Linked DNA regions of Macaca mulatta. The protein of the gene in region 3 interacts with the protein of the main gene of each other region in a pairwise test. Links are inferred from orthologs where the notes say so. Each region holds a gene or a part of one and is shown on either strand. Other genes may lie near its edges.

The links.
Region 1: the proteins of CREB3 (region 3) and ATP6AP2 interact in a two-hybrid assay, tested with the Homo sapiens proteins (2 studies listed by BioGRID and IntAct). The two-hybrid records come from large-scale screens. The link is inferred for Macaca mulatta from reciprocal best matches to the Homo sapiens genes CREB3 and ATP6AP2.
Region 2: the proteins of CREB3 (region 3) and C2H3orf52 interact in a two-hybrid assay, tested with the Homo sapiens proteins (2 studies listed by BioGRID and IntAct). The two-hybrid records come from large-scale screens. The link is inferred for Macaca mulatta from reciprocal best matches to the Homo sapiens genes CREB3 and C3orf52.

The regions. Positions count from the first base shown.
Region 1 is NC_133426.1:40,475,622-40,479,277, reverse strand, and holds part of ATP6AP2 (renin receptor precursor), read right to left. Parts: coding exon 3,633-3,656; intron 3,452-3,632; coding exon 3,314-3,451; intron 2,305-3,313; coding exon 2,251-2,304; intron 1,398-2,250; coding exon 1,248-1,397; intron 228-1,247; coding exon 108-227; intron 1-107. UniProt on the Homo sapiens protein: Multifunctional protein which functions as a renin, prorenin cellular receptor and is involved in the assembly of the lysosomal proton-transporting V-type ATPase (V-ATPase) and the acidification of the endo-lysosomal system.
Region 2 is NC_133407.1:171,558,109-171,561,864, forward strand, and holds the start of C2H3orf52 (TPA-induced transmembrane protein), read right to left. Parts: upstream 2,697-3,756; 5' UTR 2,517-2,696; coding exon 2,379-2,516; intron 1-2,378. UniProt on the Homo sapiens protein: Has a role in LIPH-mediated synthesis of 2-acyl lysophosphatidic acid (LPA). LPA is a bioactive lipid mediator involved in different biological processes, and necessary to promote hair formation and growth.
Region 3 is NC_133420.1:63,959,745-63,961,947, reverse strand, and holds the end of CREB3 (cyclic AMP-responsive element-binding protein 3), read left to right. Parts: coding exon 1-50; intron 51-140; coding exon 141-209; intron 210-858; coding exon 859-943; intron 944-1,040; coding exon 1,041-1,125; intron 1,126-1,206; coding exon 1,207-1,541; 3' UTR 1,542-1,563; downstream 1,564-2,203. Other genes in the region: GBA2 (non-lysosomal glucosylceramidase), read right to left, coding at 1,984-2,203. UniProt on the Homo sapiens protein: Endoplasmic reticulum (ER)-bound sequence-specific transcription factor that directly binds DNA and activates transcription. Plays a role in the unfolded protein response (UPR), promoting cell survival versus ER stress-induced apoptotic cell death.

The DNA.
Region 1 (3,656 bases), on a different chromosome or scaffold from region 3:
TGACTGCTCATTCATGTCACCCATAGGTGATATAGGACTTTGTATGTTTTTGTTTTTATAAAAAGTTAATTTTACAGTTTTAAAGCAGGATCTCAAAATATACTCACCGCTTGTTTTGCCTCAAGGATAGTCCTTGTCTTCCTAACAAGGGAGGTGTCAAATGACTTGACAGTGACTAACTCTACCACTGCATTCCCACCATAAAGATTGTACATGTCATCTGCAAACTGAAAGTTAGTTATTAACGTTATTGGGAATCTCAAATATGTACTTTTCTCATTTTTAATTAACAAATTAAAATCATATATATTTATCACATCAACATATTGTTTTGAAATATGTACACATTGTGAAATGGCTTAAGTACACATTGGCTAATTAACATATGCATTACCTCACTACTTATCATTTTATGCAATGAGTCAAACACATACTTATTAAAATGATTTTTAAAGCTTTTGTGCAGCTACAAGAACAATGTACACTTACCTCCTGGCTCATGAAATATACTACATCTTAAAATAAGCAAGTATTAAAGGTTTTGATTATGCTCAACTATACAGAAAAGTGTTGAGCTTTAACATATATTCAAATGTTCAGAATAAAATTAAGAGACTGAATTTGTCAGCATATAAATTGGAGGAGGGAAAGTTGGAAAGAGAAATGAAGAAATCTTCCTAAGTGGTCTCTGGTTAATCACAAACATCTATAAAAATTAAAATGTGAAGCCTCACTGAAAGGATGCAGGTGAAGAACTTCAAGGGCAGAGGGGAACTAGCATTTATTATGCATCTACTAAGTGTCTGGTACTGTGCTGGGTGTTCTACTTCAGTTATCTCATAGTGTTTAAGCGGTACAGAGTTTCAGTTGGGGAAGATGAAAAAGTTCTAGAAATAAAAGATAGTGATGGTTGTACAACATGTGAATGTACTGGTACTTAATAACACTGAACTGGACAATTAAAAATGGTTAAAATGGTAATTTTATGTTATATATATTTTACCACAAAAATTTTGTAAAGCTTTGTGTGAGATAACTTTTCCTAATGCTGTTCTTTCTAGCATTAGGAAGAAATATATCAATATACATTTTTGACCCTACTCCATCCTTGGCCAATATAACTAGAGGAACCCCAAAGAAGGCAAGTAAGAGCTCAGTCAACAGTGTTTGAAACAGCAGATTTTTCTATTAAGAGGCTAAAAGTGAAATGGTCATACTCCAGCCTCTCATGTCTCATTGATATTTACCTTTTGCAAAGCGTCAACAAGGATCTTAGAAGCATCTCTGAATTGTTCAGAGTCTTCCCCGTAACGCTTCCCAATTTCATCCAAACCTGCCAGCTCCAGTGAATACAAATCAGGAGAATGATCCTTGGCTAGATGCTTATGACGAGACAGCTTAGGAGAACAAACAAACAAAAAAAGGTAGTGGATAAAGTAAGATGAAAGATGTCAAACACAGCCAGTTAAAGTTTTATGCCCAAACTAGGCTAAACTAAACCATACCAGTGTACTACAGCATGCAAACAGTCTAAAATGGTGGCAAAAGAAACTGGTTTGAATAAGCGTTTCTGATAAATCCAACACGAATCTCATGTTTAGGAGCAGTACAAGACTCCTTGGATATTTAATAAAAGCTTTCAACAAAATTCCTCAGTTTTAAAAACTCAGGTATGGGCCTTGGTATGAAAGAACAGATGGCTGGACCAGTTTGATCCCAGGAATGCACTACACTTCCAGACTCCCCAAACCAACACCTGTTGAAAAAGTTTGGAAAACAACCTCAGAAGACAACAAACAGGTAAGAATTTCTATTTCAGTAACAAGGATGATTTTTTAAAAATCATTCACCAAAAAAATACCCTTCAGACGGATTTTGTCCCTTCTTGACTTGACTGACAGCATTATTAGTCCAAACTATTATTTCTATTTTAGGCCCAAAGATATAGATAGGAATTAAGTCTGACAAGAAATCAACAGCCAAGTTAGGACTATGGCCAGGGTGTTCTTACGCCCAGGCTTGTGTTCTTGGAAGATATGCTGTCTCTCCCTAAAAAGCAGAAATGCAAAATAATTTGACTATAACATGGATATATTCAAAATTCCCAATACTGCCACTAAGTTTTCAATTTTCATGGGATCATAAATCTAAGGCATACTTAATCAAACTTTTCAACTGCTTTTACTATCATTCAAGGATTCTCTAGAAACCAAAATAAATGGAACTGAAAAATCAGAGCAGCCTACTTACCAAGCTTGAAATATCATGTAGCACTTGCAGTTCAGAAAGAAAGAGCAGGTCAACCTTCAGAGAGCCCAAAAAAAAGAGCATTCTTTTAAATGTGCACCAGAGATCTTTATTTGCCATTTATCAAGTAAGGCATGGGATATTACAAATGATGATATAAGTGAATTTATATAATTATCTTCCATTTGGTATGTTTGCTTCAATTGAAAATGCACATAAAACATTATTTCCTAACAAAAAGGTGATGGCCATTCCCTAGTACAGTGACCGCCACTCAATAGCTATATTTTTGACAAAACCATGATAAAGCATTCAAGTTCTCCAGTGGTTTTCCTTCAAAGCATCGGGATATCCTGGCACTCTGCAATGAGATCCTACCATTGGCCCAGTTTGCTTACTTCCCTTGAATAGTTTCCACATCAGAGAATAAAAGATGATGGCCCTGGTCATCCACAGCAACTAAAGAGGGGAGGCCACCACAAAAGTGGCATGCCACATGGTTAAGAGGGTGCATGAGCAGATGGAGAAGCTGAAGGACAGGAGTCAAAAGCAGAGGTGGCTCCCTCCACTGCAATATCCAGAATGAATGAGAAAAATGTGGCAGCACATCAGCAGAAGCAGTGAACAATGGCTCCCAAGTTACCAGATCCACACAGCTCCACCAGTCACCAAGTAGATCTATGACCTCTGGCTTGTTTGAATTACTAGGTGGCAACCCTCATGCTAAAATGTGATGTTATTTACCATAGCTCCCCTCACAAAAAAGGATCAGTTTATTCATGAGAGTCATAAGAAAATTACATTAAAGAAGAATCTACCCCAGCAGTAAATGTGCACAATTTTTCATTTTCTAAAATATCAAAATTTCCAAAATTTCAAGTAGTATAAGGAATGGGAGGGCCAGACGCAGTGGCTCATGCCTGTGATCCCAGCACTTTGGGAGGCCGAGACAGGACTGCTTGAGGCCAGGAGTTCGCCTGGACTCAACAGAGTGAGACCCTGTCTCTATTTTTCAAAAAGAGGGAAATTAATGATATTCATATATTCATTGAATAACTGCACTTACTTCATTGTTCCTACTCAGAGAATTGAGGGGGAGTGAACTTAGAACAGAGTTTTCTTGAAATAGGCGATTACGGAGCTGGCGTAAGGTGACTGAAAGGTCTTCAAACACTGAGTTTGCCTTCCCTACCATATACACTCTCTGTAAGAAGAATAGAAAATTTTAAGTTGCTCACATTCTACAGATTAGTTCCAATACACAGAGGTATGACAACATTGTTCATAAATTAGTTTTAAATTTTCATAATAAAATACATTTCATAATTTCCAAATAATAAAAGCTTATTTTTTAAAATGTCTTAAATAAAAACATTATCACTTACTTCCTCACTGGGAGCCAACTGCAA
Region 2 (3,756 bases), on a different chromosome or scaffold from region 3:
CCAGAACTGTTCCCGATTCCTCACCCATCCACCTGCAACTCCATCATTCCAGATGTGACACTCAACTCCTAGCTCACTTAAATTACCTAATTATAAATTACCTTACAGAAATTAGTAATAATTAATAATGTAGGCAACTATAAATAAATGAGTATAAATTATATATGACATATATTTAAATTAAATGCTGATAGATGATAGATAGATAGATAGATAGATAGATAGATAGATAGATAGAATAAATCAACAGAAACAGCATAGTTTTGAGATCTAAAAAACATACGTTCAAGCTTCAGAGGCACCACTGAGGGAACATGAGCATTTTGGTAACTCCTCTGAGCCTCCCTCAATTTCTTCACTCAGCATCTTTAATCTGACAAACCAGAATACTGATGCCTTCCTCTTAAGTTAGCTGTGATAATTAAATGCATTTATGCATCAAAAGTATTTGTCACAAGACAGTCACTAAACAGGGTGAATGAAAATACATGAACTTCAGCTACATTGCAAAATTAGAAATCTTAATATACAGTTCAAAGAGACCAACACACAAAATTCTTAAGTGTCTGAATCTTGTCTGAATCTTTTTAATAAGCCTATATTTATTGACTTTTCTAACTGAAATACACTTCACCTTATTTTATAGAAAAAAAAAAAGAATGATTATCACATTAGGTGATGCTTTTTTTTTCTTTGTTAAAGATTTCCCTTTAACAAAGTCCAAGCATTCCTTGAACACACTCCAAGTGCTCCTGTAGCCCTTCACCTTCACTCCATCCTGTTACTGAGGACAGCTCTCCTATTGGGTGACCTACAAAGTTAACTTACAAAGAAGTCTAGGGTATCTGTACATACCTTACTAACAAGGACGTCATGGGAACACGAAACAACCATTGCTACAGGGTAGGTGCTAAACAATTACAGAATACTGATAACCCTGCATGGATTTGGCGTGTTCTACCCATCACCTGTTTTCAACAAGGCATTCCCGGGCCTCACAGAAGTCCGAGTAGGCACACATTACCACTACGGGACAGCCTTGCCCCTGGGACACATTGTTTAGTGGTGAAACTGTCACCAGATCTCTGGATTTAGTCCCAAGCTAGGGAGTTTTTAGGGTGTCCGGGTCTGTCTAATCTGAGGCAAGTATTTCCAACTCCCATTCCCAGACACCGTCCTGGAGGACCCATACAGCAAGTTCACAGTTGTGGCCACTTGCACTGGTGACCAGACTGTCTTTGTTCAACCTTCATTCTTCTGTGGCATTCATATTTTATTCAGAAAGAAGTTTCCAAATTACTCTCCAGAGTACCTATAAAAGCAAACTTTGCAATAGTTCCAGGAATCAATGTAGAGCAAAAGCAATGCTTTCAACTTTTGAATTTCCTGCTTATCCCTAAAATCAACAGCTGGGCAGCCAAAAAGTTGGGGGTGGAGGAGTGGGGCCTAGAAAGATGAGGTCGGGGCTCAATATGGGGAGTTCTGTGTACCCAGAAAACCTCAAGCCAATCTTAAGAGTTAATCAGAAGGTGGATGGCTGGGAAGTCAAAGCTCTGATGTTTTACAAGTCTTTGATGAGAGCGAATAATGTTGCCATCATTGCTAGGGTTGAAGCAGAAAAGAGCTTGGCCTAAAAATTGCCAGGGATTGAGAGGAGGTAAAAGCAAGGTGGGCGAAGTCTCATCCTTCGAGACAAGAACTTTGAACTTATTTTCTTTCAATTGAGCAGGGCAAGTTCACCTCCACCTGCCCCCCCGACCCGCCCGCACCATCCCCACGCCAGCCCTAGTCCTTCTCCTTCGGACCGCTTTCTCTCCTCTGTGCTCTCCCCTATCTCTCTTCCTGCAGAATCGAACGGCCAGGCTGGGAGAAGGCAGAAAGTGCTTGGCGGATGGTAGGCATGGAAGAGGGCTGGGAGCTGCGGCGAGGTGGGTGGAGGCAAGGGAGAGACGCGGCAAGGCAGTGAAGGTAAGGGGAAAGCTTAAGAGATTCTTAGAGAAGGAGGATACTCCATCTGTCATTCTCATTCTCCCTACTGGAAAAAAGAAAAACTGAATTAAAAGTTACATAACTTTAAAAAACTACCTCTATCTCCGGAGTATCTGAAGACAGGAGCGGCCACACCTCACCCCTAGGATTCCTAAAGCGCCTCGGGGGTCGGAGGGGTTGGACGACCCCAGGGGCTGGGGAGGGGACTGCTCCGGCCGAAAGGTGTCGCGGTTACTCGGCTCCATTCAGAGCACTCGAGCGCGCCCCACCCTCGCTCGGCGCCGGCGACGCCCCGCCTGGCTGGAAACCCGAAACTCGCGGGTGCCAGGCCCGGGTCCTACTACTGTCCCGCCGCTGGCAGGTTAGGGCCAGCGCCAAGGGGACCTTACCTCGGCCGGGGGGGCCTCCTCGTCCAAAGAAGGGAAGACCTTGACGGCACCATTGAGAGGCGTGTGCTCGTTTGGCTGCCGCACGAGCACCGAGAGCTCCAGCTCGTCTACGGGTGGTGAGGGTTGGGCCAGGTCCATGGGCGGGCGGAGAAGGTCTGAGCCGCTCCGAGGGAGGCCACAGCGCAAGGAGGGTCGAGCGACCTCACCGCCTCACACTCCACCCACTGGGCGGGGCGCAGCGGACTTCGGGCGGCGGGAGCGACCGGAGCCGACAGGAGGGGCGAGCGGTGAGTGGCGGCCACTCCCCGGAGCGGGTAGAGCACCTAAAGCCGTGCTCGCAGTGGGCTCTAGAGCCGAGGGCTGTTTTTCTGGTTTGTTCAGGGCGCTGCCTGCTGTGCCTTTCCCCGCGCCTGCAGATGCGGACCATCTGCGTTTAGGGGCTGCCTGGGTGTCGGGCTGTGGTAAGGAAAAGATGGGCCGGGCCGCACCGTCCAACGGAGGAAAGTTTGCGATCTAAGCCCACGAACTGTTGGTTGTTGGGGTTTGCCACAGTCCTCGCGGTCTAGCAAAAGTGCATTCATTCAATCAAGAAATAACCATGCCTCGTGCCAGCATGGTGCTAGGTTCTGAGTATATGAAGGTGAATAATATACACCAACACACTTCCTCGTCAAGTCCAGAGTCAGGCACAGAGACAGTATTGTGTGGTGCTGGGGACAGTGGACTCTAAAACCAGTGTACCTGGGTTATTCTCCACCCAGGGCGTTCCTCACTGTGAGACCTCGGGCTTCATCTCTCTGTGCCAATGTCCTCGCCTGGAAAGGTGGTGTAATATTTGTACCCTCCTAATATAGTTTTTACCAGGATTACAAGGGTTGCTGTAAGCAAGGCACTCAGAACAGTGATTGACACAGCAAGCACTCATAAATGTTGACCATTATTATTTATCTTTGAGGGGAGGGGCCTTACACACACACACACAAAATTCCTGCGCACACACAATCTCCTTGACACCCTATCTATAGTTCAGAACTTCCGGTTTAGTTAGCATGGAATTATGTTTGTTAAGCACAGCGTGGATTGGGCCAAGGGCCTCACCTCTCAAGCTTCTGTTCCGAATAGTCTTGTTCCTCATTTTCACCCTCCACGCAACACACACACACACACACACACACACACACACACACACACACACACACATTAAGACCAGATCATTAACAAGAAGCATATAAATCAGCTCCACTCCAAATACGTTGACTTGAGTCCAAAAGTCTGGCATATTCAGTGCCTGATGTTGAGACACAGCCTAGCTATCCTGTCTCCAGTTGTCTGGTGCCTGCTACCAGATCCCCTGAACTTTGGATCCATCCGCCTGCTA
Region 3 (2,203 bases):
CAAGAGAGCCGCAGGAAAAAGAAGGTGTATGTTGGGGGTTTAGAGAGCAGGTATGAAAGGGAGAGGGACTCAGTTTTAAGTGTTAGGTTTTTGAAGGGAGGACACAGGCCATATCCCCATATCTTTGTTATTTCCCCCAGGGTCTTGAAATACACAGCCCAGAATATGGAGCTTCAGAACAAAGTACAGCTTCTGGAGGAACAGAATTTGTAAGTATCCCTCCAAACCATTCCCTTCCTACGCTCCTCATTTAATGTTTTCTCACTCTTTCCCCTGCCCTACACTTGATTTCTAACAGGGTGGCTGCCTTCACTAGGTCTCTGATTCTAAGAAGCTCACAGTAGTGGGGAATATATTTATAAGTAACTGAGAATAAGCTAAGTACCTAGAAAAAGAAAGGGGGTAAGAAAGACCTCATGGGCTTTCATAGGATTCTGGGGTTGGGTTGGGAAAGCATTCTAGGCAGAGAGAAAGCATCCTAGGCAAGAGGATTAGCCCAGCATAGTCCTCTTGGGCTGGAACACATGTGAGCTGGGACAGAAGGTAGAGAACGTAGAGAATGCCCGGTGAGGATTATGTGCATAGCTGATCAGACAATGGGGAACTACTGATGATATTTGCAAAGGAGGTTAAGTCCTGGAAGAGTTTGTTTTGTTTTGTTTTTGCTTTTTTTGTTTGTTTTAATGAGGAACTTCAGGCATTTTTTCCAGAGTGGAAGAAGTCGTTTGCAAAAATAGAATGAAAAGTAAGAGAGAGGATCCAGTGCAGAGATGGAGGAGGTGGCCTGAACAGGAGTTTCACTGTGTCTCAGGGTGCTAGGCCAGGGGATGCTCACCATTGGCCCCTCTCTTCCTCTAGGTCCCTTCTGCATCAACTGAGGAAACTCCAGGCCATGGTGATTGAGATATCAAACAAAACGAGCAGTAGCAGCACCTGCATCTTGGTGAGGATAGTGATGAGGGGAGAAATTCTTTTCTCAGTTGCTGGGGACAGTTGTGCAATCCAGAGCCCTTCTTCATCTCCTTTTTCCTCTGCTGTAGGTCCTACTAGTCTCCTTCTGCCTCCTCCTTGTACCTGCTATGTACTCCTCTGACACAAGGGGGAGCCTGCCAGCTGAGCATGGAGGTAAGAGGCTTAAGGATAGCTCTCAGACATGGGCAAGGGGAGAGGCCTGGGTTGGCCTCTGAAGATTCTTTGTCTCCTCAGTGTTGTCCCGCCAGCTTCGTGCCCTCCCCAGTGAGAACCCTTACCAGCTGGAGTTGCCTGCCCTGCAGTCAGAGGTGCCAAAAGACTGCACACACCAGTGGCTGGACAGCTCAGACCACGTACTCCAGGCCCCTGGCAACTCTTCCTGCCTACTGTACTACATGCCTCAGGCTCCCAGTGCAGAGCCTCCCCTGGAGTGGCCATTCCCTGACCTCTTCTCAGAGCCTCTCTGCCGAGGTCCCATCCTCCCCCTGCAGGCAAATCTCACAAGGAAGGGGGGATGGCTTCCTACCGGTAGCCCCTCTGTCATCTTGCAGGACAGATACTCAGGCTAGATATGAGGATATGTGGGGGGGGTCTCAGCAAGAGCTTGTGGGGCTCCCCATCTGTGTCCAAATAAAAAGGGGTGGGCGAGGGCTGGCTGCAGCTCCTATGCCCTATCAGGAGGACTGAGGGCTCAAACACACCACACTTACTGGCTTTCTGGGTCTTTTATTTGTACCCATGTGTCTCACCCCATGAATGTACCTGGGGAAATCAACTGACCTCCCTGAACATTTCATGCAGTGAGGGAACGGGTGAGGAAAGAAATAAATAAGTGATTCTAATGCTGCCTAGGTCACCCTCAACCCCCATTTACTGGCACAACTGGGTGGGGAGAAGGGAAGGGGTATGATTGTCCTGATGGCTCAGGGTTGCAGAAGGTTCAGAGGGGAAGGAGGAAAGGCCAGGCTGGAGGCTGGGCTATTAGTGCTTTCCTCCCACAGTTCAGACGGTTCACTCTGGGCTCACGTTTGCCATGGCTTCCTTTGGTCCAAACATAGGCCCTGTCCTTAGTCCTGTGCCCTGTTCGACTTTTGGCCTGGAGGCCTTTTTGTGCTGCTGCTGTTGCAGGGCTAGCTGCATGGCCCAGATGCTCAGTGGCCGCATGTAGGCCAGTGAGCGGAACACCCGCTGCTGGCAGTATGCCTCTGGGGTCTGGAAGGCCAGACCCAGG